Stegostoma tigrinum: one gene and its partners. The protein of the gene in region 3 binds, or shares a complex with, the protein of the main gene of each other region. Links are inferred from orthologs where the notes say so. Each region holds a gene or a part of one and is shown on either strand. Other genes may lie near its edges. The genes, in order: gins2, gins4 and mcm3.

The links.
Region 1: mcm3 (region 3) and gins2 share a complex: the UniProt entries of both Homo sapiens proteins name them as parts of the CMG helicase complex. The link is inferred for Stegostoma tigrinum from reciprocal best matches to the Homo sapiens genes MCM3 and GINS2.
Region 2: mcm3 (region 3) and gins4 share a complex: the UniProt entries of both Homo sapiens proteins name them as parts of the CMG helicase complex. The link is inferred for Stegostoma tigrinum from reciprocal best matches to the Homo sapiens genes MCM3 and GINS4.

What each region holds. Positions count from the first base shown.
Region 1 is NC_081369.1:52,205,159-52,212,980, reverse strand, and holds the start of gins2 (DNA replication complex GINS protein PSF2), read right to left. Parts: upstream 3,015-7,822; 5' UTR 2,933-3,014; coding exon 2,843-2,932; intron 1-2,842. UniProt on the Homo sapiens protein: Required for correct functioning of the GINS complex, a complex that plays an essential role in the initiation of DNA replication, and progression of DNA replication forks.
Region 2 is NC_081393.1:15,624,607-15,632,600, reverse strand, and holds the start of gins4 (DNA replication complex GINS protein SLD5), read left to right. Parts: upstream 1-4,964; 5' UTR 4,965-5,041; coding exon 5,042-5,137; intron 5,138-6,233; coding exon 6,234-6,320; intron 6,321-7,994. UniProt on the Homo sapiens protein: Required for correct functioning of the GINS complex, a complex that plays an essential role in the initiation of DNA replication, and progression of DNA replication forks.
Region 3 is NC_081362.1:96,837,933-96,845,646, forward strand, and holds the start of mcm3 (DNA replication licensing factor MCM3), read left to right. Parts: upstream 1-4,678; 5' UTR 4,679-4,719; coding exon 4,720-4,788; intron 4,789-6,159; coding exon 6,160-6,272; intron 6,273-7,348; coding exon 7,349-7,557; intron 7,558-7,714. UniProt on the Homo sapiens protein: Acts as a component of the MCM2-7 complex (MCM complex) which is the replicative helicase essential for 'once per cell cycle' DNA replication initiation and elongation in eukaryotic cells.

The DNA of each region.
Region 1 (7,822 bases), on a different chromosome or scaffold from region 3:
TGGGGAAAAGACCTTGACTAGTCACCTTACCAAACTCCTCATGATTTTATAAACCTCTATGAAGTCACCCCTCAGCGTCTGATGCTCCAGGGAAAACAGCCCCTCCCAGCAGTTCAAACTCCCCAATCCTGGCAACATTCTTTTAAATCTTTTTGGAACCCTTTCAAGTTTCACAGTATCTTGACTATAGCAGGGAGACCAGGATGGAACACAGTATTTCAAAAGTGGCCTAACCAATGTACTGTGGAGGCAGAATATGACCTCCCAACTCCAATACTCAATGCTCTGACCAATGAAGGTAAGTGTACCAAACACTTTCTTCACTACCCTGTCTACCTGTGACTCCACTTTCAAGGAATTATGAAGCTGCATCCCAAGGTCTCTTTGTTGGCAACAGTCCCCAGGGCCTTGCCATTTACTGTACAAGTCCTGCCTTGATTTGCTCTACCAAAATGTAGCATCTCATATTTATCTAAATTAAACTCTATCTACCACTCCTTGGCTCATTGGCCTATCGGATCAAGGTTCCGTTACTCTCAGATAACCCACTTTGCTGTTCATTACACAACCAATTTTGATGTCATCTGCAAAATCACTAACCATACCTCCTATGTTCACATCCAAGTAATTTTTATAAATGACAGAAAGCAGTGGACACAGCACCAATCCTTGCAGTACACTGCTGGTCACAGGCCCGCAGTCTGAAAAGCATTTTCCACCAACACCCTTTTGTCTCCTACCTTCAAGCCAATTTTGTATTCAAATGTTTACTTCTTCCTGTATTTATGTGTTCCAACCTTGTTAACCAGTCTACCAGTCAGAGCCTTGTCGAATGGCTTAAAAAGTCCATTCAGACACTACGCATCACACTGCCTTTGTCAAACCTCTTCATCACGTCTTCAAAAAACTCAATCAAGTTAGTGAGGCATGATTTCCCATGCACAAAGCTATGTTGACTATCCCTAATTAGTATTTGCCTTTCCAAATACATGTAAATCCCTCTCCCTCAGAATTCCCTCCAAAAACTTGCCCACCACTGATGTCAGGCTCAGTGGTCTATAATTCCCTGGCTTTTCCTCACCACCTTTCTTAAATAACGGCAGCATGGTAGCAACCTCCAGTCTTCAGGGACCTCACCCGTGGCTATCCGAGATACAAATATCTCAGCAAATGGCTTCCCAAGCTTCCCACAAAGTTTTGGGCACACCTGATCAGGTTCTAGGGATTTATCCACCTTTATGCATTTTAAGACATCTAGCACCTCCTCCTCTGTAATATGGACACTTCAAGATATTGCTATTTATCTCCCCAAGTTGTCTAGCTTCCATATCCTCCTCCACACCAAACACTGATGCAAAGTACTCATTTAGTATCTCACCCATCTCCTGCAGTTCCAAACATAGGTGGCCTTGCTGAACTTTAAGGGGCCCCATTCTCTCCCTAGTTACTCTTTTGTCCTTCATGTATTTGTAGAACCCCTTTAGGTAATCCTAAGCCCTACTTGCCAAAGCTATCTTATTTCTCCTTTTTGCCCTGATTTCCCTCTTAAGTTTACTCCTACTGCTCTTGTATTTATCCAGGGATTCATTTGATCCCTGCGGTCTACGCTTGACATATGCTTCGTTCTTTTCCTTGACCAGAACTTAAATTTCTCTAGTCATCCAGCATTCCCTACACCCACCAACCTTCACCCTGAGTGGAACATACTTTTGCTAGACTATCGTTATCTCATTTTTGAAGGCTTTCCACTTTCCAGCCATCCCTTTATCTGCAAATATCCACATCCAAATTAACTTTTGAAAGTTCTTGCCTTATACCATCAAAAGTGGCCTTACTCCAATTTAGACCTTCAACTTTTAGATCAGTTCTATCCTTTTCCAATTCCTAGAAGCCTGATACTCCAAGAAGAAAGCCATCAACAAACACAGAGAACTTGACCCCATATACACGCCATTGCAAAGGAAAACCAGAAATGAGGTAATCCAGCTCAACGGACTCCAGTTTAAAAACCAGGTGGGAAAACACAACGGTACTTCATCAGAGACACTGATGAAGTTACCCAGCGGGGTAATGAAACATCTGCAGAAAAACAAAGAACCAGCTCAGCGAGCCAGCCACAACATCCACAACCCGAACTACAAATCTACTCCAAAACCTTATAGACTAATAGAATTATGATCACTGGCCCCAAAGTAGCTCCCACTGTCACCTGCCTTATTTCCCAAGAGAAGGACTAATTTTTGCTATTTCTCTAGTAAGTACATCCATATTCTGAAGAGGTAAATTTTCTTCTGCACACTTAACAAATTCTTCTCCAAGCGAAGCACTATGGCATACCAGGCTATGTTTGGAGCCTGCTCTGCTTCTCCAGCAATTTCTGTTTTTTGTTTCAGATCTTCAGCATCAGCAGCCCTTTGTTTAATTTTGGATTTCAAACTTGTCAATTTGCACTTGCCTAATTATTGTCTATTATTAGGAGCAAGTATAAGGATTAAAATGTTTCAAGACGTGGAGCTTCCTTGTTTACATTTCAAGTCACAAACCTTTTTTGAAAAAAGTCAGTCAGTCAGTCAGTCAGTGTGATTTGGAATGATCCAAATTAATCTGAAGACAATCAGAGATCTCTTGCTCTAAACATTTTACATTTTTGTTGATCCCAATAACAACAGGCTGTAGGAAAATATTTCCTCCAACTCTACAGCACTTGTTACACATAATTTATTATCATTGATTATAAATCTCTGGCCTTTTAGTTTAAACTTGCTCCATGTGTAAAATGCTTTAAAATATAAATCATAGCCCATGAGCCACAAGAGGGGGCAACTTGACAAAACACACTCACAGTTATTAAATAGATTTTATCCAAGCTGAAGTTGGGAATAATAGTCACAATCTGCTTCTCTGCGAGAAACTCCACTTCTGAAGGGTCCATTGCCGCATTTAACCGCTCGCTCCCGGGTTTAAATCACCCGCCTGAAGCCTGAGACAGCTTCCCGCGCAAACACCACCGGAAATAGGGGTGATGTCACTCAGCCGGCCCTTTGACAACTGGCCCGGCCCCCTTGACAACAGACCCCGCCCCCGCGACAACTGACCCAGCCCCCGTAACAACAGACCCAGCCCCTTGACAACGGACCCCGCCTCTAACAACGGTCACCCCGCCCCGAGTAGGGATCCGCCCCTTGACGACGGAGCCCGCCCCTGACTACGATCCCCACCGTTCCCGGCCACGTCCCGCCCACTGACTGCACTACATTCCCTATCCCACAGATGTTGGGAACTGCAGATGTTGGAGAATCCGAGATAACAAAGTGTGAGGCTGGATGAACACAGCAGGCCAAGCAGCGTCTTAGGAGCACAAAAGCTGACGTTTCGGGCCTAGATCCTTCATCAGAGAGGGGGATGGGGAGAGGATTCTGAAATAAATAGGGAGAGAGGGGGAGGCGGACCGAAGATGGACACAGGAGAAGATAGGTGGAGAGGAGAGTTTAGGTGGGGAGGGGAGAGGTCAGGGAGGCGGGATGAGGTTCGTTGGTAGGAAATGGAGGTGCGTCTTGAGGTGGGAGGAAGGGATGGGTGAGAAGAAGAACAGGTTAGGGAGGCAGAGACAGGCTGGGCTGGTTTTGGGATGCAGTGGGTGGAGGGGAAGAACTGGGCTGGTTTTGGGATGCAGTGGGTGGAGGGGAAGAACTAGGCTGGTTTTGTGATGCAGTAGGGGAAGGGGAGATTTTGAAACTGGTGAAGTCCACATTGATACCATTGGGCTGCAGGGTTCCCAAGCGGAATATGAGTCGCTGTTCCTGCAACCTTCGGGTGGCATCATTGTGGCACTGCAGGAGGCCCATGATGGACATGTCATCTAAAGAATGGGAGGGGGAGTGGAAATGGTTCTCGACTGGGAGGTGAAGTTGTTTATGGCGAACCGAGCGGAGGTGTTCTGCAAAGCGGTCCCCAAGCCTCCGCTTGTTTTCCCCAATGTAGAGGAAGCCACACCGGCTACAGTGGTTACAGTATACCACATTGGCGGATGTGCAGGTGAACATCTGCTTAATGTGGAAAGTCATGTTGGGGCCTGGGATGGAGGTGAGGGAGAAGATGTGGGGGCAGGTGTAGCACTTCCTGCGGTTGCAGGGGAAAGTGCCGGGTGTGGTGGGATTGGAGGGGAGCGTGGAGCGGACAAGGGAGTCGCGGAAGGCAGACAAGGGTGGGGTAGGAAAAATGTCTTAGGTGGTGGGGTCGGATTGTAGATGGCGGAAGTGTCGGAGGATGATGCATTGTGTCTGGAGGTTGGTGGGCTGGTACGTGAGGACTGGGGGATTCTCTTATGGAGGTTATTGCGAGGGATGAGGTCCGGGAAATGCGGGAAGCACAGTCAAGGGCACTCTTGACCACTGTGGGGGGGGAAGGTGCGGTCCTTGAAGGACATTCCCTGTCCATACACTTCAGGCTCGGCCTATTTGAATAAAGACCATGCCTCCTTAGTAACAGACTACGCCAATCAAGGCACAGACTCCGCCCCTTGACAGTCCCCCGTTGCAAGCCGTGCCCCTTGCTTGCAAGGCCTTCCCCCTTTGCCAACAAGCTTAATGTTTACGTTGTCTAAAGTAAAAACAGAAATTGATGGAGAAACCCAGCAGGTCTGACAGCATCAGTGGAGACAAAAACAGAATAGAAACAATGGATGTTGGGAAAAGTTGTTTATAACCTGAAGAGATGGGCGGGGAGAGGAAGCTAAAGGAGTAAGAAGATAGCATCTGCAGTTCATGTTTTCTTCAAAATCATTGATGGAGGTAGACTCGAGAGAGAGAGAGAGAGAGAGAGACAGATAGTTAAGGAGAAAAAGCGATTGATGATAGTAAGCCAGGCAAGGAGAAAATGTATATTCTGGTTGCCCTTCTTTAGGAAGGATGTTGCTAAACTTGAGAAAAGATTTACAAAGATGTTGCTGAGTTGGAGGGTTTGAGCTATAGGGACGGGTTGAATAGGCTGGGGCTGTTTTCTCTGGAGCATCAGAGGCTGAGAGGTGACCTTATACAGACTTGTAAAATCATGAGGGGCATGAATAGGATGAATAATCAAGGTTTTTCTCCCTGGGTAGGGGAGTCAAAACTAGAGGGAAAAGGTTTAAGGTGAGAGGGGCGGATTTAAAAAACAACCTGGAGGGTAACTTTTTCACACAAAGGGTGGTGCATGTATGGAATGAGCTGCCAAAGAAAGTAGTGGAGGTGTGTACAAATACAACATTTAAAATATTTACCGGGTGGGTACATGCATAGAAAGGGCTTCGAGTGATATGGGCCAAATGCTGGCAAATGGGACAAGGTCAGACAGGGATGTCTGGTCGGTTGGCCAAGTCGGACTGAAGGGCCTGTTTCTGTACTGTACAACTCGATCAAAAGCTGATGAAGGGGTCCATAAGTGAGTAAAATTGAGTTGGCAGTGCTGAAAGCAGCCCTTATCATGACAGACCTGGGTTGTAGGGGTGGATAAAGGATATTGAAGAAGATGTTCAGGCTTTATTCGATATCGAGTCCTCAAGGCTCCGGGGGGGGGGGCGCTGCTTGAGCAGCCAATGAAATGCTGTTTTTCCAGCTTGCGGTGAGCCTTGCTGAAGCAATGCAGCAAGCCTGAGACAAAGATATTGGCCAGGGAACACAGTGGTATGTCAAAGTGGCGGCCAACTGGAAGCTTGAGGCCATTTTTATTGAAAGAAAGTAGGTGTTGAGCAAAACAGTTGCTCAGTCTGTGTTTTGTCTCCCCAGTGTGTGGGTGATCACATTGTGAGCAGAGAATGCAGTAGACTAGATTGTCGAAATACAGGTAAAATACTGCTTCATCTGTGTGTGGACTCTTGGATAGTGAGGAGGTAAATGGGCAGGTGTTACACCTTTGGCAGTTTTAGCGGAAGGTGCCGTGGGCATGTGAGGACATGGTGGGAGTGGAGGAGGAGTGGGCCAGGATGTCCCAGCTGGGACGGTCCCTGCAGAAAGCTGACAAAAGAGGGGAGGGAATATGTATTGAGTGGTGACATTCAACTAGACGTGGCAGAAATGGCAGCTTATGATCTTATGGATGCGGATACCGGTGAATCGGAAAGTGAGAACCAGTGGTCCCTATCTTTGTTGAGATGCAAAAATTTCATCCCCTATTCCCAATTCCTCCACCCTCCGCCGCATCTGCTCCCACGATAAGACATTCCACTCCCGCACATCCCAGATGTCCAAGTTCTTTAAGGACCGCAACTTTCCCCCCACAGTGATCGAGAACGCCCTTGACCGCGTCTCCCATATTTCCCGCAACACATCCCTCACACCCCGCCCCCGCCACAACCGCCCTAAGAGGATCCCCCTCGTTCTCACACACCACCCTACCAACCTCCGGATACAACGCATCATCCTCCGACACTTACGCCATTTACAATCCGACCCCACCACCCAAGACATTTTTCCATCCCCTCCCCTGTCTGCTTTCCGGAGAGACCACTCTCTCCGTGACTCCCTTGTTCGCTCCACACTGCCCTCCAACCCCACCACACCCGGCACCTTCCCCTGCAACCGCAGGAAATGCTACACTTGTCCCCACACCTCCTCCCTCACCCCTATCCCAGGCCCCAACATGACATTCCACATTAAGCAGAGGTTCACCTGCACATCTGCCAATGTGGTATACTGCATCCACTGTACCCGGTGCGGCTTCCTCTACATTGGGGAAACCAAGCAGAGGCTTGGGGACCGCTTTGCAGAACACCTCCGCTCAGTTCGCAACAAACAACTGCACCTCCCAGTCGCAAACCATTTCCACTCCCCCTCCCATTCTCTAGATGACATGTCCATCATGGGCCTCCTGCACTGCCACAATGATGCCACCCGAAGGTTGCAGGAACAGCAACTCATATTCCGCCTGGGAACCCTGCAGCCATATGGTATCAATGTGGACTTCACCAGTTTCAAAATCTCCCCTTCCCCTACTGCATCCCTAAACCAGCCCAGTTCGTCCCCTCCCCCCACTGCACCACACAACCAGCCCAGCTCTTCCCCCCCACCCACTGCATCCCAAAACCAGTCCAACCTGTCTCTGCCTCCCTAACCGGTTCTTCCTCTCACCCATCCCTTCCTCCCACCCAAGCCGCACCCCCAGCTACCTACTAACCTCATCCCACCTCCTTGACCTGTCCGTCTTCCCTGGACTGACCTATCCCCTCCCTACCTCCCCACCTATACTCTCCTCTCCACCTATCTTCTTTACTCTCCATCTTCGGTCCGCCTCCCCCTCTCTCCCTATTTATTCCAGTTCCCTCTCCCCATCCCCCTCTCTGATGAAGGGTCTAGGCCCGAAACGTCAGCTTTTGTGCTCCTGAGATGCTGCTTGGCCTGCTGTGTTCATCCAGCCTCACATTTTATTATCTTGGAATTCTCCAGCATCTACAGTTCCCATTATCTCTTATAACTGTGGGAGTTAGTTGGTTTGTAATGGATATTGTTGGCCAACCTAACATCTGAAATGGAAACAGGAAGGGAGGAGTCAGAGATGGACCAGGTGAAGGTGAGAGTGGGGCAGAAATTGGAAGCAAAATTGATAAATGTTTTCAGTTTTGGATGAGAGAGGAAACAGTACCAATAATGTCACCCATGTACCAGCAAAGTTGTAGGGAGATGCTTGAGCAGGACTGGAACAGGGAGTGTTTTACACACCCCACAAAGAGACACGCATGACTGTGGGTCATTTGTGTACCAGTGGCGACACTTTTGATTTGAAGGAAGTGAGTGAAGTTGAAGGAGAAAGTTCAAAGTGAGGACAAGATTGGCCAGGCAAAGGAGGGTGA
Region 2 (7,994 bases), on a different chromosome or scaffold from region 3:
GGCAGTTCTGAGCTCCTTTGGAGAGACTCAGTGAGTGTGTGACCCCCGTGAATGGCAGGCCCAGAAAGAGCCAGTGCTGAGCCGGAAGATGGGGGAACGTTGTCAGCTCTGAGCGTCAGAGAGCATTATCTGGGCAGGACCGAGACTGCACTGAGCGGTATTTATGTGGCTTGTTGTTTGTCTTTGTCTTGAGTAGCGTAGACACTGAACCCCGCGGAGAACATCCCAGGAAGGACCCACTTCCCTCTCCACCCCATCCTTCTAAACCTGCTGCTTGTCTGAAGTCATCGTGACACGTGCTCTTGTGATCGTCTGTTTGCATTGAATGTGTTTTGTTCAAGAACTTGACATTGTACAATATTCATGTACTTTTTCAAATAGAAATAAAGACTTTTTTTAAAAAAATATGTTAAGTGCTTACTCCTGTAAGTGTCCTCATTTAGCCCTTGGGGGTGGGTTTGGTCAATGTGGAGGGGGTGAATGACTTTAATAACATGATCTGGGAAGGATCAGGCCTCTTTTTCACTTACACCTGATATTTCACAGTCTAAAACAAGGTTTGTGGTTGCACTCCCTGCTTAGTATTTCATATAAAACCTGCTGTTGTTCCTCAGCTTGAACTTCAGCCTGAGACCCCTGTGATCTCTGGGGACGTGGTGTGCAGGTGTGTCGGTGGTCAGAGGTTGGTGTCCCCGACGGTCAAGATCCAAGATCTTAGTCTCGATGCGTGCCAGGGAAGGGGCTGGTTGTTCTCCCCTCTGCTGTTTTTGGATTAGATTGTGTTTTTAGCAGGCCAGGAGGCTGCTGATAAATTGCTAACTTGGTCAAACAGCAATGGATGCTGAGTGCATTGGCCAAGTGAAACTCTGAAATCACGAGGACACGGCAAACACAGCAGCCTGGTGCTGATGACGTGAGCCGAATGTAAAAGGCAACAGTGATCCTGGACAGAGACATCCCCAAAAAAGTGTTGTAACATTAAGGGGCCAAATGGGATAAAAGAGAGTATGTTTAGCATTAAAGCTGATTGCAGTTTCGTTCCGAATAAAGTGGGGTTGTTTTCCTTTGGTACTGGCTTGTGTTTGTAGTGATCTGACCACTGTGGGGCATCTGGACAAATTATGTTCAAAACATTCTGGCTGCATTCTGTAATTTGTTTAAAGAAGAACAGTGGTAATGTCTTTGCAATCCAGACCCTCCAAACGAATGCTCTGGGGACAAGGGATCAAATCCGACTATGGCAGCTAGTGATATGTTAGTTCAGTTACAGAAGCTGGACTGAAGATCTAATCTAATGTCGAACGTTGATAACCAACAATTTGTCCTGAACTTCCCACATAGAGGCGACAGTCAAGAAAGCAAAACAGCACCTCGTCTTCCTCGGGCAGCTCAGGAAATTCAGCATGTCCGTGAGGACCCTCACCAACATTCACAGATGCACCATTGAAAGCACACTGTCCGGGTGCATAACAGCCTGGTAATGGGAACTGCTCCGTCCAGGACCATAAGAAACACCAGAAGGTGGTGTGCAAGCCCAGACCATCACAGAAGCCAACCTTCTACCCATGGACTCCCATCCACATTTCTCATTGCTGTGGAAAGGCAGCTGATGTTATTGAAGACCCCCCTGCCCCCCGCCACATCCCAACCCCAGTTCTACTCTCTTCCAATCTCTTCTGTCAGGCAGAAGATACAGAAGCTTAAACACGCATGCCAACAGGTTCTAGAACAGCTTCTTCCCTGCTGTTATTAGACTGCTGAATGGACCTCCCCAATTTCAAATCTAATGTGTTTCGGTGCACTCCTATACAGCTGTAACCCTGTATGCCATGCTTTGTTTGAACACCCTGTGGTCTGTATGTTACGATCTGCCCCTACTGCTCGCAAACAAAACTTTTTACTGTGCTTAGGTACATGTGACAACAATAAATCAAGTCAAACCATTGTCCGTTGATGATGAACAAAAACTCATCATGTTCACTGATGTCCTTTAAGGAAGGAAACTGCCATCCTTACCCAGTCTGGCTGACGTGTGACTCCGGACTTGCAGCAATATAGTTGACTCTCAACCCTTCTCTATGCATTTAGAAGACATCCCGTAAACAGATACATCAACAGTTTTCAGCCCTTCATTTCTGCAGAAGGACCTTGACCTGAAATGTCAGCTTGCCTGCTCCTCCGATGCTGCCTGGCCTGCTGTGTTCATCCAGTTCCACATTGTGTTATCTCAGACTCCAGCATCGGCAGTTCTGACTGTCTCGAAACAGTTTTTAGCTGTTCATCTGCAGCTCCAGTCTAATTACTTGTTTAAAAAAAATAGTGATAGCAGGTGAAGAATTAGTTTCCAAAATGGATCGTTGGACAGGCTGTGCTTGAAGTCTCGGAAGTGGAAGGGGATGGATTTAGTGGCAGATGCACCAGACTAAGCAGGGTTTCCTCAACTACTGACTCAAGAGGGATTGAAAACGAAAGCAAGGATCTTGAAAGTAGAGCTAAGGGAAAAAATGAGACCTATAGTTGTTGAAAATGCTTGAGCTACAGGATCTTCGATCACCTTAAATCTGTCTGCTGCTTAGGGTAATGAAACATCTGCTAAGTAATGAAGCAGCTCAGCGAGTGAACGAACCACAGCATTCACAACCTGAGCTACAAATCTACTCAAGAACCGGAGAAGCTGACTCAGGAGCGGCACAGTGGCTCAGTGGTTAGTATTGCTGCCTGACAGTGCCAGGGACCCAGGTTCGAATCCACCCTTTACGTGGAGTTTATATGTTCTTCCTGTGTCTGCATGGGGTTTCTGCCACTTCCTTCACACACTCCAATGATGTGCAGGTTATATGGAATGGTCATGTTGTAGTGTCCAGGGCTGCACAGGCCAGGGATACGGTGGGGTCTGGGTGGGATGTTCTTCCTGCGGACTTGATGGGCCAAACAGCCAGCTTCCACACAGTAAGGATTCTACAAGGAAACCACTTGCAAAACCTATTCTTGATGGAGACAGGAAGGTATGCACAGGGAAGATGACGTTCGATGACAGACCTTCATGGGGGAACAGCACCTCTCTGACCTTGCAAAGATAGGCCCAAGCTGAAATAGAGTGGCATTTAAGGACAGTGAGCTAGGATGTGGTGTCTAAAGAGACATAAGCATTTAATCTGTACTTAACAAAAGAGTCTGGCAAATCGATCATACGCACTGGACAGCTGGCCATTAAAGGTCAAGCAAGCATTATAATCACTTTATCCGTGACCATAATACTAAGGTTTTATCTGAAATTATCACTTTGTAATACACTAGTACCGAAATAAAAATTAACTGTAATGGTTCCCAAACAATATTGATTTGCATTCAGAATCTCCCTTTTGCCTAACTAAGGATGGATGAACATAGGCAAAAGGAATAGATTAAAAATGGGAGATTTTTTCAGTTTTGCATTTGGCAAGTCTCCAACAGCAATTATAATTCAAGATTCCATATTTGAATGTGTTAATTTTTAATGCCAAAAGGTCATTTGTGAAAGGGTTTAAGACTGGATTTTCAGAATTTTACTTTTCTGTGGTTTATTTCCAAGTTTCATGTTGACTATTGTAGGAAAAGTGGACAGGTTAGCACTGAGAAATGGTGAACTGTAAATGTGACTATTACAGAAATGATCCTTTTTGTTTGCATAGTGCCAGAGACAGTCTACTTCTTAATCTAATCTGTCATTGCCTGTGGCCAATAGCAACAAAGGGCAATGTACTCGTATTCATTTTCCACAGTGAGGAATGATGCATAACCACTTGGGTAAGGTTTTAATGCAAACAGCTGTATTAAAACACTGAGGAAGGAGATTGCGCTTAGGCACAATTGAGGATATGTTCCTGCATTCATGGCCATTGTAAGAATCAAAGGAACCTTCTCTCTATCTTCGAGACACTACATTCCAGATAATAATTTGCAGCCTGCTCCTTCTGCTAAAATTCTCTTCACTCTCCATATACATTATTGAATAATGTCAAATTTGACCTAATTTAATGAGCAGCAAAGTTATCCACTGGCTGAAAGATCACTTGAGGAATAAGGTTCTCATTGTCACCCTGTCCTAAGATTTCAGGGTGAAGGGTTACAGAAAATCAGGTTGTGATCAGAAAACCGAAGAACTGTACAGCACGGAAACAAAACCTTCGGTCCAACTGGCTGCAGCACAGACACCAGAACTGAATGCAGTGTTCCAAAAGTGGCCAAACCAATGTCCTGGACAGCCGCAACATGACACCCCCAGTCCTATACTCAATGGTTAGAGACAAAAAAACTAGAATCTGGAATCCAAGGTGGACAAACAGGAGGCTGGAAGAACACAGCAAGCCAGGCAGCAGCTGGACGAAAGGAGAAGTCAACATTTCCGATATTACCCTTCTTCAGGACTGAGGGCCTGGCTTGTTGTGTTCTTCTGGCCTCCTGTTTGTCTATCCTTTCCTCAATGCACTGACCGATAAAGACAAGCGAACCATCGCCTTCTTCACTACCCCGTCTCCCTGTCACTCCAAAGAAATCTGAACCTGCACTCCCCCACGGCATGACCGTGAAGTGTTTTAGAGAAACAAAAGTCGATACACAGTTAAGTTTTCTATGTTTTTTTAAAAAAAATTCACAATTCAGTCACGTTCAGGGGGATAACAAATCGAAGGAAAACAACACACAAACTTAAGGACAATGCAATGGGATGGGCTGGACTAGTTTCCCTTCGTCAGGCTGCAGACAGCTACATCCGCCTGGAAGAAAGATGGCGACGATTCCAATGGTCACAGGGGTTCGGCGTGGGGGACGCGGCCTTGTCTGCGCGATGACGTCAGACGTTCGGCGAAGCGGGCGTCCTCGCGGTGCGGTGAGGTTACCGCGTTCGGGACGTGTGTCCGGATGTCAGTCAGGAGGCGGGTCCACGAGGCGTCGGGCTGCGCGGTGACGTAAACGATGGGGGCGGGTCCCGTGCGCGATGACGCCAAACGTCGCGGCCGTGGCGGGAGTTTGCAGTTGAAGCCTCGGGTCTGCGTGAGTGACCATGTCCGTGGAGGTGATGGTGGGTGGAGAGGGCCTTGACGACGAGGAAGAGGAGGAGATCCTGACCCCGGCGCAGCTCATTGCAAAGCTGGAGGAGGTGAGGGGGGAAGGTGGGGTTAGGCCTTGGTCGCTGCACAGTAAGATCCCACACTGAGCACGGGCTTTTCCTCCTGACTCCCCGCAGACCCTGTCCCACCATCGACAAGTCAGGAGGGCGATGGAATACCCCCCACTCGCCCCGGATGGGGGCAGCTCCAACAACAGTCGAGAAGCTCAACACCATCAGGGACAGAGCAACCCCCCCCCCACTCGATTGGCGCCACATCCTCAACCATCCCACTCCCCCACCCCCAGCACTCAGAGTCACAGCAGTGTGTACTGTCTACGAGATGGACCTCAGCAACTCACCGAGGCCCCTCAGGCAGCACCTTCCAAACCCACCACCCACTTCCATCCAGAAGGACAAGGGGCAGCAGGTACATGGGAACAGCCCCCCAAGCGGGTTCACCCTCTGAGCCCCTCATTTCCCCCCTGACTTTGGGAAACATATCGGCCGTTCCTTCAGTGTCGCTGAAACCCTGGAACTCCCTCCCTGAGGGCACCGTCCCCTACACCCCATGGGCTCCAGTGGTTCAACAAGGCGGTTCACACCCACCTCGAGGCCTGTGAATAAATGCTGGCCCGGCCAGTGACACCCACACCCTGTGAATTTTGTTTTCAACGCATCCCTTTCGCTGGTAGACACTTGTTGTTGGTTTGTTCCTGAGACCACCCTGTCCCTGCACAGCAGAGGCTGAGAGTTTTCTCTGTCAGATTTATCTCAGGAATTCCTAGACTTAATTGTACATCTCACATTGATTCCAGTGTTTGGTGGTGTGCTATCTTCACGCATTCAGACTTTGCAGAGGGTGTAGAAAGTGAGGTAGTAATGGGGTCATGGACTATATTATGTTCGATTATCCTGATGTACTTATGGAAGTTATGATGTGTCCGGTTACTCCCATTAACCAGTATTTTTTGCTGTATCTCAATACATGTGACAATCATAAATTGAATCAATATACCTGATATGTAAAACAATAATACTGTATCTGTCTGCAGTCTAGGTTTTGATCGCTCTGTGATATTCAATTTGGGATTGTGTCTGCTCCTCTTACAGTTACTGTCCGTGCCTGTCTTTCATCTCTATACAGGCGTGGCTGAATGAGAAATTTTCCCCTGACCTTCTTGAACATAAGGCTGAAATTGTGGAGTGTGTCATGGAACAGCTGGATCACATGGTAACAGTTTTGTATTTTTCGTTGGGGGAGAGGAGGTGACACCTGTTCGGTGCAGTTTTGAATTTGCGATTGACGGGCACGACCAGAATCTGATTTCCCTGCCAAATGAGATGATAACGATTTGCTGTCCTGGAGTTACCTGGCAGTGCAGAAATTGATTTTTGCTGAGTTACTCAAGTCATCAGGACGTATGCCAGAATGCCGAGTTTCAAACAGTCATAATGATTTCTTTTTTTGGGAGAAAAGGGAGTTGATCAGTTGGCATGTCAATTCTGACTGGTTACAATGTCAACATGGTGAAAGCAAGGGGGAGCAAGAGTTCCCCAACGTCCTGGATAACGCAATTAACTCCGCAAAGGCCAGTATCCCACCACCAAGTCACCATTCATTTACACGTGCATAGTATATGACACTGAGCCGGTTAGCTCAGAGCCAGCTCCTAGAGTGAGCAGAATGCCTAAAACTCCTGTATATGTCTGTCAGCTAGGTCATATTCTGTGAGGTCCACCTGGCTGACCTTGTTCCAATCATTTTGAGTGCAAAGTGGTTCACGGTAATCGCAACTTTGCAGTCATGGCTCACCTCTCAACCTCCTATGCTCCAGTGAAAAAAGGCCTTGCCGATCCAGCTTCTCCTTATAACTCAAACCTTCCATTCCCGACAACATCCTGAGAAATCTCTTCTGAACGCTCTCCAGCTCAATAACATCCTTCCTATAACAGGGAGACCATAAACAATGAAGTCAGCTGTGCTAAACACCTTAACCATCATGTGTACATGTGACGCGAGCTTTGAAAAATTATGTACCTGCATCCCTCTGTCCTACAACACTACTCAAGGCCCTACTATTATTTGTACAAGTCCTGCCCAAAAGTGCAATACCTCGCATTTATCCAAGTTAAAATCCATCTACCATTCCTCAGCCCATTGGCCCAGTTGACCGAGCTTGCTTTGTGATCTCGGATAACCCTGTTTACTGTTCACTATACCACCAATTTTAGTGTCATCTACAAACTTACTTAAGATGCCTTTTATATTCTCTTTAAAATCATTTCTATAAATGACAAATAAACGTGGACCCAGTACTGATCCCTGTGGAACACCACCGGTCATGGCCCCCTGTCTGAAAAACAACCCTCCACCACCACTCTGTCTCCTGACATTAAGCCAATTTTGATTCCAATTGACAAGCTCACTCTGAATCTCATGTGATATAACTTTTCCAATTAGTTGATCATGCAAAACCTTGTCAAAGGCTTTACTAAAGTCCAAGTAAACAATATCTACTGCTCTGCCATCATCAATCTTCTTAGTTACTTCCTCAAAAAACTTAAATTAGTGAGACACAGTTTCCCTCGCATTAAACCATGCTGACTATCCCCAGTCATTTCTTGCATCTCCAAATGGATGTAAATCCTACCTTTCAGAATCGCCACCAGCAGCTTAGCTACCGCTGAAGTCAGGCTCACAGGTCTGTAGTTCTCAGATTTCTCTCTGCACTCCTGCTTAAACAGAGAAAGGAATCTGCAGGGCTTGAGGTGAAAGAGCATAGCCTGAGTCTAAAACTGGAGAATTTCACGACAGAGCCAGTGTCAGTACAGTGGGCCGAATGACACAATCGGGTGCTGGTTGTGTTCTCAATGTGACAGCAGCTGTATGGCAGAGGACTGTAAC
Region 3 (7,714 bases):
GAACAAGGATTGTTCCACATACTGGGGATCCAATTGGCGCTCATAGCCACTCCTTTGACTTGGCAGAAGTGAGATAAATTAAGGGAGAAATTCTTCAGTGAGAGAAGCTCTGAGGAGAGTGGTGGTAGATGGGGATTGTTCAGGCCTCTGGTTGAAAAAGAAGCTGAGAGCTCTCAGACCATCCTGGTGGGATAAGGACGTATAGAGGGATTGGACACCAATGGTGAACAGGAGGCAGTTAGGACCATGAAACTGAAAATTGTCAATATTGCAGAGGGCATCAGAGGAATTGCGGATGTAGGTAGGAAGGGTCTGGAAAAGTGGAGAGAGCATGGAGTCAAGATAATGTTCAAAAGTCAGAGAAGAAGCTGTTCTCGAATCTGCCCGTGCTTGTGTTCAAACCTTTATATCTTCTGCTGAATGGAAGTGGGTAGAAGAAGATGGAAGGATAGGAAGTATCTTTGATTATGTTGGTTGCTTTCCTGAGGTATCAGGAGGTATAGACAGAGTCATTTGAAGGAAGGTTGGCTTTTGAAATGGACTGGGCTGCATTCACAATTGTCTATAATTTCTCGCAGTTTTGGGCCGAGTGGTTGCCACACAAAGCTATGGTGCTTTCGGACAGAATGCTTTCTATGGTGCCTCTATAAAAATTGGTAAGAGCCCTTGTGGGCATGCTGAATTTCTCTAGCTATCTGAGGAAGTAGAGGCATTGGTACACTTTCTTGTCTGTCACACCAATGTGGGTGAACTAGGGCAGATTGTTGGTGATTGTCAGTCACTCCCAGGAAATTAAAACTCTCGAACATTGCTACCTCAGCATCGCTGATGAAAACAGGTCTGTGTCCTCCATTCCACTTTGTGAAGTCAATGACCAGCTTCTTCATTTTGCTGCTGGTGATGGAGAGATTGTTGTCTTTACATATGCTGTTAAGCACTCTATCTCTTTCCTGAATTCAGCCCGCATCCCTCTAAACCCTTCCTGTTCATGTACCCATCCAGATGCCTTTGAAATATTGTAATTGTGCCAGGCTCCACCACCTCCTCTGGCAGCTTATTCCATACATGCACAACTGTCTGTATGAAAAAGTTGCCACTCAGGTCTCTTTTAAATCTTACCCCCCCCCCCCCCCACCTTAAACTTATGGCCTCTAGTTTTGGATTTCCTTACTCTGAGGAAAAAGACATTGGTAATTCTCCCTATCCATGCCCCTAATGGTTTTATAAACTCTATAAGGTCACCCCTCAGTGTACAATAACAGATGAATGGACACTGTGCAACAATCGCCAGACAGGAATCTTCCCTCCCAGTGGCAGAATATTTTAGCAGTCAAGGACATTCAGCCTCTGATCTTTGGGTAAATGTCTTGAAAGTGTTGTGAAGTTGGTGTGAGTAAAATTGTAAAATGTGTCATTCTTTTAAAAGATTGTTGTTTTTCAGTGCTTAGAGTTAAAATGGATGACTGACAAGCACCTTGAAGTGGAGGTGCACACAGAAAGAGCTTCCGAATTGAAACATTTTGTATTAAACAGTCAAGCAGCATGTTTTGAGAAGATTTGTAGCTCAGGTTGAGGTTCTGGATGTGAGATTGCTCGCTGAGCTGGAAGGTTAGTTTTCAGACGTTTGTCAAGCAGCATTTCACCAAGACAACAAGTCTTTTCAAATTTAGCCAATTAATTTAAACTAAGTCCTTAGATACTAAAATATTGTCAAATTTAAATCTGGTGGTGTTGACAGCATCGACCACTTGAGAGAGAGAGAGAGAGAAAGAGAGAGAGAGAAATTGATTGTCAGAATCATCTATGTATTAGATGAAGCACCATCTATCCTAAAACAGTACCACGGCATTTCTAGCTAAAAAAAAACTCACAGAAGCAATTACAGAGAAAAACATCCCTGACAGCAGAATCAGTGAAAGATTAGATTCCCTTCAGTGTGGAAACAGGCCCTTTGGCCCAACAAGTCCACACGAAAGACATTTGTGGCATAATCAGGAAGGCAGAGCGTTCCAGAAGACACAGCTTACACAAACTTGGACAGACTATGTTTTAATTTATTACTGCGTTATTAAGTGGGTTTATATAAGTGGGACTTGTGTTTATTGAATAGCATTCTATTAGAATTTAGTTTATTAAGGGAATAGTTAGTCTGGGGGGAGGGGAATCGTTCAGTTTGTTAGTACTTCTCTTAATTTGTTCATTGTTAGAGTTGAATAAATAACTTTTTTTCTTGTGGATCAGGGATTTTCTTTCTTTTAATCACTCTTTTAACAGAATATGAGGGGAAAGGTGAGCTTCTCTGGGAGTTTTGGGGGTAATTATTAGAAGGGAACCTCTACTCCCATCATAACTGATTGGGGCTTGTGTTTTGGTCTAAATATCAGCAGAGATCAGCCATTCTCCCTCCATAAGAATTCGGGGGCTTGTCTGGGATCTGGATGGACTTGGACAGCTCAATTCTGGCTTCTGGACAAATTTGGACAGATCATGTCCACAATCTGGCTGTTACATGTGGTGGGGGAAGAACCTGAATGGATTTGGACACGTTTAAACAGACTTGGGGATTAATGTCCTAGATCTGTTCCCTGGGATGCTCACTGCAATAAACATCACCTGTACCTGAAGGACCATCAACTCAGTGAAAGCTGCTCTTTGGTTTTTTGCACTCGCCACACGGTGTTTCGCCCATATATCCCACAAAGGACTGTGAGTGGACTCTAAGTAGTGACATGAAATGATCTTTATTAACTATAATACCATAATAACAATTATGCTACAAACTAACAATTAATACAATAAATCTGGCAAGTAATACTGGAAATCTAAATCAGAATCTTGTAATTTAACTTAATTTGGAATGATCAAATATCACCACACTAAACCTTGGCTTTAATACACATGGTGATGGGCATCTGGTCTTCATCTTCCAGTGATTCCAAGGGCAGAGGTGCCCTTACAGCAGTTGGTCTCAGGTTACTGCTCCCAAGGGTGCTGTTGCAGTGATTCTTGTCCTTGGAAGCCTCTGCAACCTTTTGGGAGAATCTTTGATTCCCAGCAATGGATCAATCAAGAATCAATTACCCTGATTGATCAGACCCAATCAGACAGTACCATGCAAATGGTGGTGTGGCCTTTGGTCTTCCATTTCTGAAAGTGTTAGGGGTACATAAATCAGGTAGGCTTCCCAGATATCAGACTGAGGTGTCCCTTTATTCTGGAAACAGCTCATTATTTTCTATTGTCCTGGTAAATAGGCTTAATCAATTGCAAATTGTACCACCTGCAGCTGCAGCCTGCCTGTCTGCGTCTATAGGTTGTTTATTTCAGTATCTTTGCACAGATGCTTCAGCCAATGCTTGGCTTGATTTCCCAGCATGTTTGGTGTATTATCCAATACTGCCATTTTTTAGTGGCCCGTTGGGCTACAGGTACGCACGGACCTTGTTGATCCTGACCGAGTGTTGCAGACTGGCACATTCCAAGGTCCAGGATTATGTGCTGAGGGATGCACACTAAAGCTTGGGGAAGCTGCTGTCAAAGTGTCGTGGGGGAAGAGCATGGTCTGAAGTCTTCCTGCTGAAGATAAATGAGAGTCCATTCAGTTAATGGATCCTCCCAGTGTGCCAAATATTTGTGAATATTGGTATTGTATGTGTGAGCAGTCTTTGAATTTGCGTACAGTCAAACTGCAATGTTTTGTACAGGAACAAAAACAAAGTTGCTGGAGAAGCTCAGTAGGTCTGGCAACATCTGTGAAGGAGAAAACAGAGTTAACGTTTGGGTCCAGTAGGCCACCAGTGACCTACCAGACGCAAAATGTTACCTCTGTTTTGTCCTTCACAGATGCTGCCAGACCTGCTGAACTTTTCCAGCAACTTTTTTTTTGTTCCTGATTTACAGCGTCCGTAGTTCTATTTTTATCCAATGTTTTGTATTTTGTTGACATGCAGCTGTGCAGAACTCCTAAGATGCTGTTTGGCCTGCTGCGTTCATCCAGCTCCACACTTTGCTATCTTGGATTCTCCAGCGTCTGCAGTTCCCATTCTGTCTGAACTGTTTTTGTGTCAGTGTATGTATACAAACTTTATGAATAAAATGTAGCTTTTTGCAATAAAAAAAGAGATTTCACTTAAACATATTGGGCTGTAACCTGGTGTCGTGTGACTTCTGACTAAGGCAGACCTAGTCTATTATTAGAAACGTGAAACCCCTGACCATTACAACCCTTTAACTCTGACTTTGAAAGCATCTATCGCATTTGATTACAGGGAGACTCGGATCCTTTGTTGCGTTAGTCCCTTTAAATAGGCGGAACCAGAGACCGGGGCGGGGTCCGTCTCAGAGGCGTGGTCTATGGCCAGGGCCGGGCCAATGCCGTGGAGGAGAGATCAACGTCGGGGGCGGAGCCAGTGTTCAGGGGCGTGGCCGTCGCACAAGGGACATGATACAGTGACCAAGGGGCGGGCCCTGTATCCAAGGGCGGGGCCAAGCGTTCAGTCTCGGCTTCAGTGCCCATAAGGCGGACCCTACGTCCAAGGGGGCGGACCCTATCTCCTGGAAGCGGGCGGGGTCTGTGTCCATGAGGCCTGGGCTGGCGGTGACGGGGCGGGGCAGTGCGTGTCAATGTGACCGCGGTGCATTCTCCGATTGGTCCGGGGTTTTTCGCGCGGAAGCCGGTCCCACGTGACTCAGTTTGGCGGGAAAGCGGCGGCGGTGAAAATGGCAGCGGTGGAGGATCCGGCTCTGAGGGAGGCTCAGAGACAATATCTGGACTTTCTGGATGATGAGGTGGGGGCTGTGGGGGAATAGGGGTCAACGCCGGCGATGAGTTTGGGGGGGGGTGCGGGGTACTGGGCTGGGTGCCTACCCTACTCCATGGGCATGTGTTTCCTATACCCCTCCCCGGGAGGGTGCGACCACTCGGCCCGTCCGCCTTGTTCACCCTGACCCTTCCACCCCACTTTGCACACCACTCCCCCATTTCGACTCCCCTTACCCAGCCCCTCCCCCATGCCCACTTCCCCTCCCTTATACCCCACACAAACCATCCCCTTCACCCCCCTCCCCGACCCTCATCGCCCCCCCCACTTCCACTCGCCACCTCACCCTCCTCCCCCCGCTACTTGCCGTTCCACTTGCACGCCCCCACCCCATTTCACAACCCTCCACTCACTTCTGTTGTGCTTCAGGTGACCCTTTTGACCGTCTCCTAGCTTGAAGTAAAACAAACAAGTACAGCTGCTGCAGATCTAAGACGAACAGAAACCGAATTTGAAACTCAAAAGGCTGAGTACATCCGTGGGATGAAAGCAGAGTTAATGCGTTGAATCCGGTGACACTTCATCCAGGGCTCCTGCCTTCTGATTTTTATTCCTGTATCCCTTCCCAGTTGCCAAGCAACATCCAGCGGTGTTTACCTGACACCTGCTTCCCTTGGTTCATAATTTGACTCAAAATGAATGTTTGAAATGAAGTATACATGAGTGCACACAAACGAGGAGCAGAGGAGGCCACTCAATCCCTCAATCTGGCTCTGTCTTTCAGCAACATCAATGCTGATCAGATTGCTTTTTTTTCCCGGCTACCTGCATAAACACTTCTTCTCTCCTCGCTTATCAAGTAGCTGTCTATCCCAGCCTCAGAAAGATTCTGAGTTATTCTGTCACCATGCTGAAACCAACATGCAAAGAGACCAGAAATGTAAACAGAGTGTTGAAAAAACTCAGCAGGTCTGGCAGCATTAACATTTTGTGTCTGATATCTTATTCAAGAGAACCTACAGCATGTGATTTGCAGCAGTTTAAGAGGGCAGCTCACCAACACCTTCTCAAGGACCACTAGGGACAGGCAGTAAATGCTGGCCTGGCCAGTAATGCCTATATCTTACAAGTGAATTTCAAAAAAACAGTGGTTCCAAAGATGCTGCCAGACCTGCCACGGTTCAACAGCATTTTGTTTTTATTTTATTAATTGTGCACCTGTTCTTGGGTGAAGCTGCCCCTGACATAACCAAATCAGTCCAACTTGAAAGCGGTCACCTACATCAGAGATGGTTATATCCCTGATGGTGATTTAATCAGTTGCTTTGATAAGCTTTTAAAGAGTAAAGGACCAGTTGAAAGAATTTCGGGCTAAGGTTTTTTGCATTCTTGCCAACAGCAAGACCAGGGGATTTACCAAAGTAAGGTGAGGGACATGATCAGTGACAACTTGTACCGACTGATTGTCAACATCAATGACCTGCGCAGGAAGAATGAGAAAAGAGCGACACAGTAAGTACCTTGCTCAGATAACAAGGTGTGGAGCTGGATGGACACAGCAGGTCAAGCAGCATCAGAGGAGCAGGACAGTTGATGTTTCAGGCCTACACCCTTCTTCAGAAATGCGTCTAGGCCCGAAACATCGGCTTTCCTGCTCCTCTGATGCTGCTTGGCCTGCTGTGTTCATCCAGCTCTACACCTTGTTATCTCAGATTCTCCAGCATCTGCTGTTCCTACTATCTCTGAAACAAGTACCTTGCTCACTTGTCTAACCTGAACCCACTTCACTTCCACAGTCCCCCTTTACTGTATACTGCTCTTGCCTGATGTTAAAAATCTTGCTAAATAGGACTTTAGTGTGCCTGAGCATGCTCTGCTGTTCAGTGCGATAATAATTGATTTTCATTATCAACTGCCACTTTTTCTTATCAGGGTTTCATATTCCATTACTCCATCTCAGTACATAACAAAGCAGTTCATGCTCTCTTGGGCAGCTTTCTGACACTTTTCTCCATGGCATTTAGAAATGGACAATAAATGTTGGCCAAACCAGCAGTGTCCACATCCTGTGAATAGTTAGGGGGGAAGTAAAACAAACTCCAGAGAGACTCAATCCCCTGAGTGAGGAACTTTCTCATCTGTTTGAAACATATTTTAAATGTGCTCGAGGTGGCGGAATGATCATGAAGTGTATGTTGTTGGATTGATATGGATGTTCCAATCTCTTGTTCCAAGAGAGGTACAGCACCCCTGGAGACAATTCAGCCCCTGCTCTTTAAAGGATCAATCCATTAAGCCACAGTAGTCAGCTCTGTCACCACCATCCTGCAAACATTGAATAGATATCTTTTTGGAGCTATCACTGAATCTGTAGGCATCACCTTTGAGTGCATTCCACGTCAAAGCTCACTTTTCTCTTAAAAGAAACCTCCTCATGTGCCCTTGGTTCTTTTATCATTCTAAATCTGTCATCTCTTGTTACTGACCCTTACTTCCCTCACCACTGGGGGTTGAGGTAGTATATCTTTAACATTTGAAAACCTGTTGCAGATACACTGAGCCAGTTAACCTTTGTCTAATTTTCTCAGACTGCTGAGCAATTCCTTTGAAGAACTCCTGGCCTTCCAGCGAGCGCTAAAGGACTTTGTTGCCTCAATTGATGCCACCTATGCCAAGCAATTTGAGGATTTCTACATTGGACTGGAAGGCAGCTTTGGATCCAACCATGTCAGCCCACGGACCTTGACCTCTCGGTTTCTCAGCAACGTTGTGTGTGTGGAGGGAATTGTGATCAAATGTGAGTCTGATTGGGTGAGACTGGGTGCTGCTCTGTGTTTGCATTTTGTTTTGTTCGTGACTTCGGCGAACACTCCTTGCAGTTGGTTCTCATTGATTGAGGAAAATGAGGTTGTTAATAGACAGCTTGTAACTTAATGGTGTATTGTGAGAACTGT